Linked DNA regions of Ovis aries. The protein of the gene in region 1 interacts with the protein of each later gene in a biochemical or structural test. Links are inferred from orthologs where the notes say so. Each region holds a gene or a part of one and is shown in the gene's direction. Other genes may lie near its edges.

Region 1 (4,232 bases):
AAAACGAGAGTTGTTGCTTGGTAGCTCATACTGTACCTTCTTTCACGCATTACTAAGAAAGGCCTTCCTTGGTGGTGGTGGTTTAGTCGCTAAGTCGTGTCTGACTCTTGGGACCCCGTGGACTGTAGCCCGCCAGGCTCCTCTGTCTGTGGGATTTTCCAGGCAAGGATACTATATTGGATTGCAATTTCCTTCTCCAGAGGATCTTCCTGACCCAGGAATCGACCCAGGTCTCCTGCATTGCAGAAAGATTATTTACCGACTGAGCTACAAGGGAAGCCCATGTGTTGTTTTTCTTAACTGTGAAAACGAGAGTTGTTGCTTGCTAGCTCGTACTGTACCTTCTTTCATGCATTACTATCTAAGAAAGGCCTTCCTTAACCGCCCTTAAATTCTAACGCTATCAGATTTTCCCACCCTTTTACAAACACCGCCCCTTCTCAGGAATTTCAGAATTACCGTCTGAGAGAGGCCACCTCGGACCACTCTTTTTAAAACTGCAATTCCCATTTGCCGCCACCGGGCTCTCTCCCACCCACCTTCCCTCGCCTTATTTTTCTCCCTAGCATTTATCATTAATTTTATGTACTATATATATATATATATATATATATATATATATATATATATATATCTACTGTCCCTCCCCCCCAAGAATATAAAGATACACAACAACTGGGATTTTGGTCTGCTTTAATTTGCGCTGTATCCCCAACATCTATACTAGTGTCTGACACCTACAGTTGGCATTCGATAAATGTATTCGAATAAAAGTAGGATGCTGTATTAGCCGGTCCTGACTGTGTGAATCGACGTCAGGTTAGACTAATATCGCGTTTCTCACTCTCTGAAAAGGGCTTCCAGCAGTCATTCGGTGACGTCCTCCAGATTTCAAAATGGGAAAGGTTCTCACAGCTCTCAGAATTTCTCGCCACAATTCAAAATGGCGGAGGAGGGTGGGGCCTGTCACATGGTGGGCGGCACAGCAGCTTTCCTTTTCCAGGCCGCGGCCCGCCCTGCCGCGTCGTCAGCCGGCCACCTCCTCCTCTCACCGAGGGTTTTTCAAGGAATCGCTTGGGATTGGATAATCGGCTGGGACTGGATAATCGGCTGCGGCTGCGGGGCCAGGACACGGCATCATCACTTCCTGTTGTGGGCAGGCATTTCCTGTCGCTGCTTGGTAACAATGGGGAAGATAATGGCTGCCTGAGCAACGTCTCCGAGCAGGCGCTGGGCTAGAGGCGGGTCTCGACCAGCGACTCATCGGAGGCGGGCTTGAGAGCTGCGGCAGGGGAGGCGCGCAGGAGCCCCGGCGGCGGTGGCGGCGGCGGCGGCGGCGGCGGCCGAACCGACCGAGTCGGATCCCGACACCAAAACCGAGTAAGTGAAGCCTTGGGAAATGGATGGAGAGCGAGAGGAAGACAGCGAAGCCCCATCTGCTGCTTTCTCTCAAAATGGCCTGACTGGTGCATCGTGGCGGAGGCTCATCGCCGCCTCCGGACCCCAGGCACCGGTTGCTGCGGGGGGCTCCGTGGCGTAATCTCCGCTGCCATTTTAGCTGGGTGTATAGTCGACAGGCTTTTTGAAGAAGGGGAAGGAGGTAGGTAGTACTTCCTCTCCGTGGCCGCGCGAGCCGCAGCTGGGGCCCTCCAGAACCTTAAGAATTTGGGGGAGGCGATTTTCGAATGTTGGCCTCAGGCATGAGAATCTTTGATCGTCTTAGGTTTTCCTCTCCTCCCTGGAGACTTCCTTCGCCTCCTCCTCCTCCCCCTCTCTTTTACATGGCGGGCTTGGGTTTAGGAAATGGGGAAAAAAATCAGGCTGCTCTAAGTTAGATGCTGGGAACTCTTGGGCCTTTAGATTTCCCAGGATTTGCAAAACCCCATTTTGAGCCTTCTGCTTCTGCAGGGCACTATCAATTAGGCGCCCCCTGAGGCCACGATGACATCTTCCCGGAGGATCTAAGACAAATGTGGTTTACTCCTTTGCTTGAATAACCCTGGCGTATCCTTTGCCGGATACCACTGCACGGATTCCCCCCAAAAGGGAGGGAAAAGCCGTTGCGTGTTTGTTGTTTTTCCCTGGCTGAGGGTGGGAATTGGGCCAAATGATTTTGAAGTTAATTTCCGTTCAATCCGTGCACAACCCAACCCCTCCCCCCTCAAAAATGCCTAAGGGTCTCGGCTTCTGCGGGCGGTACCTGCCACGTACGCCATAGCTTTAGTAACTAGTATTAACCGGTTGGGCTTCTGCTTCCTGAATACTCCGTCCCTTTTTCCCTTATGCTGATTAATTTCAAGATGGAGGAGACAGCCACGTTCCTTCCCTAGACAGTTTCACCATACTTATTCCACAGGTTAGTCCGGGAATCTGAGGCCTAGCAGGCTTGTCTATTTAGGTCGTTCTTTCGTTTTGCAGAAAGAGGAAGCATTTATATTAGGTTGTCATTCAGGCTTAGCAAGGCCCCACAATAATTATTTTTTTGCTGGAAATAAGGAGCCCGCATTTCCTGAATCAGAATTAACCGCAGTGGCTTTGGATGATTGAAAGGAGGAAGAAATAAACTACTACTAATCATTTTTTTTTGAATTCTTGTCATTATTGAAGACAAAATACACTTATCACCCCATCAGGTACATTATGTCCGTCCTGGATGACTTGTGAGCAGGCTGGCACAGTTATCGCTGCCCCAGAATCAGTTTTCTAAGTTGTAGAAATAAAATGCCCAGGAAGACCAATCTAAATATTTTTAAAATTTTATTGTAATACTCTTCTCTTACTGAAAAAGTGTTTTTCTTTAGCCTAAGATGTCCTGATGATTTTTCATACTTTAGTTCCTGCCTTAGGCTAGTGTAACGTACCAAATAAGTTCTTGAAAGTAACTGTGAGAATCTGAAAATAATTACTGATCTGATGCGTAAAAGCCCATTTTAAGTAAGTTTATATTAAAAGGTAGATGGGCTGTTAGCCTTTAAAAGATATCTTCTATCTAACATATAAGATTGTTGGTTCCCTCTGACCTTCTTAGTCTCCCCAAATATCCTAATACTAATGTGGAATTAGGTTGAATTATGGTGGGTGTGTATCTAAAATACATAGGATATGTAATTTTTAGGATGTGTCTGTTTCAAAGAAAATGTCTTATCTTATAAAAGAGGAAGAATAATGGATTCTTTTTTTTTCTAGAGCAGAGAGTGAAGAAAACTAAAATCCAGTTTATTGTATACAATACTATGTCATAACAGTCAGGTAATTTTATTTTTTGTTGCGTCTCCTGATGATTTATGTGTAGAATGCATGTTTTAAAATATTTATTCTGTTTTGGGGTCCCTGTAATAAAATGGGCTTCTTTGATATATGTTAGTTGGTGTCGGGCATTCTTAATGGTCAGAATGGGTGTTTTTCACTGGGAATTCAAAGGGTAGTGTTTCTCAGTAGCTGGAACCTCATTAGTGCTCTGTCAATTTTCTTCTTTTAAAATAATGTCTGAAATTTACCAGTACCTGTATAGAATGGAAAGAACAAAATAGAAATTTGCTTCCTTTAATCACTGTTGGAATGGGATGAGTATAAATAAATAGTATTTAAATGTTTATTGAATAACTAAATGAACTAACAGTAGACTATATTACAGGAATCTAATCTCAAGTTATTTTGTGTGACATTTGATATTTTTGCTTCAAGATCCGAAAAGTCATAATATATAATACTCTAATTGATATCAACCTCTTTCATCATCGTTGTTAAGGTAACCACATAATTTATTGCCCTAGCTAGGATGCTTTTAAGAGAAAAAGGAACATTATTTTCCTGGACAACAGGTGGAAACCAGGGTTGTCCCATGCAAATTAGGATGGGTAATTAGCCCAAATTCATAATTAATCTGTATTGAATACTTATGTGCTAGGTCCTGTGCTTCACATGTGTGATTTTGTAATCCTTACAGCCAAGCTTCATGAGGATGTTACCTGTTTTACAGAGTAACTGAGACTCAGAGGAGAGATTAGATAATTTGTTCTCTATTAGATAATTTGTTCTCAAAAAGCTAGTAAGTGGTGGGAGCCCCCATTTTAACCCAGGTCTGTCTGATGCCAAAGTCAATAAACTTTTATGTCCTTAGACTTGTTATTAGAAATGCAAAGAAAATGAAAAGTTGTAATAAAAAAAATCTATAGGTTAAGTTGCATCTAAAACTTCTGTTAACACTTGAAGGAAATTTGCTTTATGAAGCA
Region 2 (4,509 bases), on another chromosome or scaffold:
CAGCCCAGTCCTGCCCCTCCTAGCCAGCCCAACTGCACAGTGCCGAGAGCCCTGGGTCGGGTCTCCTGCCCGAACTGCACTCCCCAAGGGCCATTCGGTCACAAGGACGTTGGGAAATAATGGAGGCATTGTTGGCCAGTCGGCCAGATGCCCAGTGCATAGGCCCGCCCGCCCCTTCCCCAGTCAGACCACACATGGCCCCTCTCAGGCAGGCTTCCACAGCAGCTGACACTCAACGGCCGACACCCCTATGCACCCAACACCCGCTCAGCTCCCTGGCCTGGACGCCCTTGTCTTGTCCTGGGGAACAAACGGAGCACAAAGTGAAGGGGCCCCTTAACTTTGCCTGCATGGGGCTTTTGCTCAAACTGAGATGTGGGGTCTGCTCAGAGCTCAGAGGGGACTGTGTTTCTCCTACCCAGGTCCTTCCACACTGGCCTGCAAGTTAAGTGTACAGACCAGGCCACCGGAGGCCAAGCAGAGGCAGGGTGACTATGGGGCATCACTGAGGGCTCCCAGGTGGAACCTCCTGGAGGATGGTACCAACCCCTAGTCCCCCAGCACTTTCTGGAGGCCCCCCTGCTCCTGCCATGCTCTGAACTGCCAGGACCCACAGTGCTGTGGGCTGACTGTGGGTGACGCAGGGGGTTGGCCTGGACTGTGATGGGCACCCTCCGGGGTAGGTGTGTCTTTACGTGCTAGGGTGGTGGGTTCCTGCAAGCTCACCTATTTGGACTGGGGGAGGAGGGCAGAATATGGGGAAACGGGAGCCAGGGCTTCCTCCCGTGCTAGAGGGTGTGGAAGGAAAAGAGTGGATCCCGGCATTCCCAGCTCCGTCCCTCCTGACCTGGAGTCTTGGCTGCATCGTGGAGTCGAGCCGAGGACACTGGGTTCCCTCCGAAGACTCCCCTTGCTTCCCCGCTCCCACTCCTGGGCTGCAGTGCCCAGGATGGGTCCCAGAAGCTGCTCAGAGCAGGAAGGTCTGAGGTCGGGTCCGCTCCTGGCGGCTTCCCTGTGAGCCAGTGGGCGCCACACTCACCCTCTCTGGGTCTTGGGTCTCGCACGTGCCACCAGGCACTGTGACCAAGCCTCCCAGCTCGGAACCTCTCGGCCCCGAGCCTCAGCGGCGGTAGGATCCAGCTCCCTCCCTGACCGGCAGGCTACCCTCCGGCTTTCGCGCCGGAACCCAGGCCTCAGCCCTGAGCCGGCGCCGGGGCAGGAAGCTTCGGGGCCTGGTCAAGCGCTCTCGGGCAGCGCTGACACGGCTCCTCCCCTGCCCGTCCTAATCCCTGGGCCCGGCACTCGGGGCGGTTTCCCCGCACCGCAGTTCTCCCGGCAAAGGCGCGCAGAGTCCGCGGACGCCAGCGGCGCGTCTCCGCGACCCCGGCCCCGCCCCGCCCCGCGGCCCCGCCCCCCCGCCGCTCCGCCTCCGCGCGGCCCGAGGCTCCGGGCCCCTGGGCGGCCCGCGGGCGCAGCGCCCAGCAGCGCCGGGAGTCGTGCAGACGCCGGCCCCGGGCCATTGAGGCCGTAGTCTCGCCGAGCCCCCGGAAAGTTCAGGACCGGAGAGGCTCTGCGGCGGGCGGCGGGACCCATGGAAGCGCGAGGGGAGCTGGTCCCGGGCCGGGAGTCGGCGGGCGGCGACCTGCTGCTGGCGCTGCTGGCGCGGAGAGAAGACCTGCGCCGAGGTGGGTGCCCCGGCCGAGCGGCTGCGCCCGGGAGGGCGGACCTCGTGGAGACTCAGCGGCCCTCGCTCCCTTCCCAGCCCGGCCACGGAGGCGGCGGGAGCCAGGGTGCGTGGGAGGGAATGGGTGCGAGGGCCCCAGCACGGCGCGTCCCTACCTGAGCATCCCAGCAGCGGGCTCGCCTCTGGGCCCCTGGAGCTGTGTCGTCGGGCGTTTCGTCGCGGCGCTGGTGCCGCCCAGGCTGGGGGCCCTCTGGGTCCCAGGACTGGTTTGGAAAATACTCTTCCTTTAGGGAGAGTGTGCAGAGAGCAAACGTGTGTCCCAGTGTCGATGGGGTAGGAGAATCTCCGTGAAGGCTGCCTGCACCCAGACGCGCCACACTTTCCGGGCGAAGTCAGACACAAGGGCCAGCATGGAGCTGGACCCCGGTGGCTGAACTCCCTTAGCTAGGGTCCTGGTGTCTGCGCTCACATGCACCTGCTCCATTGGCAGGGCTGGTCCTCTTGCAGGAAAACCCCCAGCGCCTTGGCTTCCCCGTGAACTGGGATGGTCCTCCACGAGCTTCCAAGCAGGCGGGACCCACAGGATGGGATGGAGCTGGCCCTGGAAGGGTGGGCAGTGGCGGGGTGGGAGCAGGTGGGAAAGGGGTTACATCCAGGCTTTGGGGGTCTCCTCCGTCTCCTACTTCTTTATTTATTTATTTTCCGACGGTTCCTGGGAGGGGTGGCCACGGGAGCTGGGAGGAAGGGGTGGGAGGGCGGAGAGACAGGAAGGGAGGGGCGCGGGCTCTGCGTGAAACGTCTCAAGAGAGCCGGAGGGGATCGGGCCGGCAGGCAAGCGCAAGGCTGTGCTGGGCCCGCCAGCGCCGAGGGTAGGAGACCCCGTCAAGGCTGGAGTCGCCATGCAGCGTAAGGCCCGGGTCGCCAGGGCTTCGCGAGAGCGCGAGGGGCGCGGCGGGAGAGGATTTTGCTCGACGCGGGGCTCCGCGGGTAGCGCGCTCCAGGAGCTGTCCGGGCCGCGGTGCTGAATCCGCGCCGCGCGGGCCTGTGCAGCGACCAGCTCTAAGGCGGGTGTCCTCGCCCGCCGCCCTGCCATTGCCTACCAGGGTTGGAGGGCCAGGGCAGGCAGCAGATCCTCAGGCTCCGCACCCAGGGCCGCGGTTTTGCCCGACGCGGGACCCGGTCCTTCGTGGTGCCCAGGGCTGTAGGAGGGAGGTTGATTCCGTTTCTCTCAGCATGGAGCAAAGGAAGGTCCCTCGCTGGCCCTTTCGCCGGCTGCCAGGCCGGCCTGGGGCTGGAGGGGGTCCACTGTCAGCGAGGTGAGTGTGCTGAGGTGGTGATATATTTGAGTAGGTTCCAGCTCCTGCTCAAGGCTCTCTGCCCTCGGGAGACCTTTTCTAAATTAACAGGTTGTCCTCACGCCCTGAACACCCTGCAAAGCACCCCCATGGACCTGTGGCTCTCAAAGGCAGGCCCTGCATTTTCCCAGCCTGGTTCCCCCCGAGGCCTGCAGTCCCAGGGGAGCAGAACCCGAGTGTCTCTATGGGGAAGGCAAAATACCTACTGTGTGTGCTCAGGCATCCATGTTTGAGCAAGAGGACAGAGCGTCCATACATCCAGTCTATGCACAAGTACTCCCCAGGGCCACCCAAAGACAGGCAGGGCATCAGTATTCATTTTGGTAGCCTGGGGACAGGGCCACGGGGCTGGGCAGCCACACCTGCCACAAGTCTCGGGCTACCATGGCCCCTGACTGTGCGAGGAAAGAGGGCCATTGGGTGGTGGATGCCCCATGGCCCATGTGTGCCGGGCCTCTGGTGATGGTAAGGACCTGGTTTCCAGCCCAGCCTCTGAGACAGCCCCCGGGGGCGAGGGTTTCATTTGAGCTCAAAGTTCGTCCTTCGTGCACTGGAAACGTTTTGCAGTTGAGGGTATCTGCCCCGGGCATGTTTCTAAGCCTAGCTTCAGTTGTCCTGGATTTCCGCTGTGGGCCAGGCACGGACTTCCGAGCCACACTTTCCCTGAACTCAGGGAGCTGGGTGGCCACCCAAGCCAGCCAGGGACGAGGGTGTGCCGGGAAGGGGGCCTCCTGGCAGCCCGGTCCTGGGAGCTGGGTGCGATGGGGAGGCCTCGACTCTGTGCGGCGGCCCTGAGCGCGGTGGCTCCTCCCCGCCTGCAGAGATCCCGCTGTGTGCCGGCTGCGACCAGCACATCCTGGACCGCTTCATCCTCAAGGCTCTGGACCGCCACTGGCACAGCAAGTGCCTCAAGTGCAGTGACTGCCACGCGCCGCTGGCCGAGCGCTGCTTCAGCCGTGGGGAGAGTGTGTACTGCAAGGACGACTTCTTCAAGTGAGCCCGCCAGCTGCCTGGGAGGGAGGGGTGGCGCACCCAGGGGGACCCCCGGGGCCTTTGCGTAACCAAGCCTGGAGCCCTGAAACCACCCCCCGTCTCCACACCCCTCCTGTTCCCCAAACAGGGCACCCCAGGGCCTCTCTGTTGGCGGCTGGGCTGGCCCACTAACAATCTTTTAAAGTAATTAATTTTGTGAATCGTTGAAGCAGTCGTTAAAATGATAATCCCAAGTTCGTAAACCTCTATTGGACGTGCTCCCTCTTTGTGTTGGCCTTGTATTCGTGCTTAATGGTGGGGATGGGGCTCCTACCCGGCAGAGGACTCATGGGTTTGCAGGTCGGCCCGGTGGCCAGGGCCCTGCCCTTCCGAATTCACCTCCCCCATCCGGGCACAGAGGACAGCTGTGTGCCCCAGAGCATCCGGATCCCCTTCTCGGTAGTCCCTGCGGGTAGTCTCTGTGACCAGGGGCAGGGC

The links.
Region 2: the proteins of RLIM (region 1) and LHX3 form a complex in vitro, tested with the Homo sapiens proteins (2 studies listed by BioGRID). The link is inferred for Ovis aries from reciprocal best matches to the Homo sapiens genes RLIM and LHX3.

Annotation. Positions count from the first base shown.
Region 1 is NC_056080.1:66,779,745-66,783,976, reverse strand, and holds the start of RLIM (E3 ubiquitin-protein ligase RLIM), read left to right. Parts: upstream 1-1,169; 5' UTR 1,170-1,380; exon of another isoform or gene 1,381-1,600; intron 1,601-1,908; 5' UTR 1,909-2,356; intron 2,357-3,186; 5' UTR 3,187-3,249; intron 3,250-3,634; 5' UTR 3,635-3,748; intron 3,749-4,232. UniProt on the Homo sapiens protein: E3 ubiquitin-protein ligase.
Region 2 is NC_056056.1:3,245,765-3,250,273, forward strand, and holds the start of LHX3 (LIM/homeobox protein Lhx3), read left to right. Parts: upstream 1-1,527; 5' UTR 1,528-1,591; coding exon 1,592-1,685; intron 1,686-3,860; coding exon 3,861-4,032; intron 4,033-4,509. UniProt on the Homo sapiens protein: Transcription factor.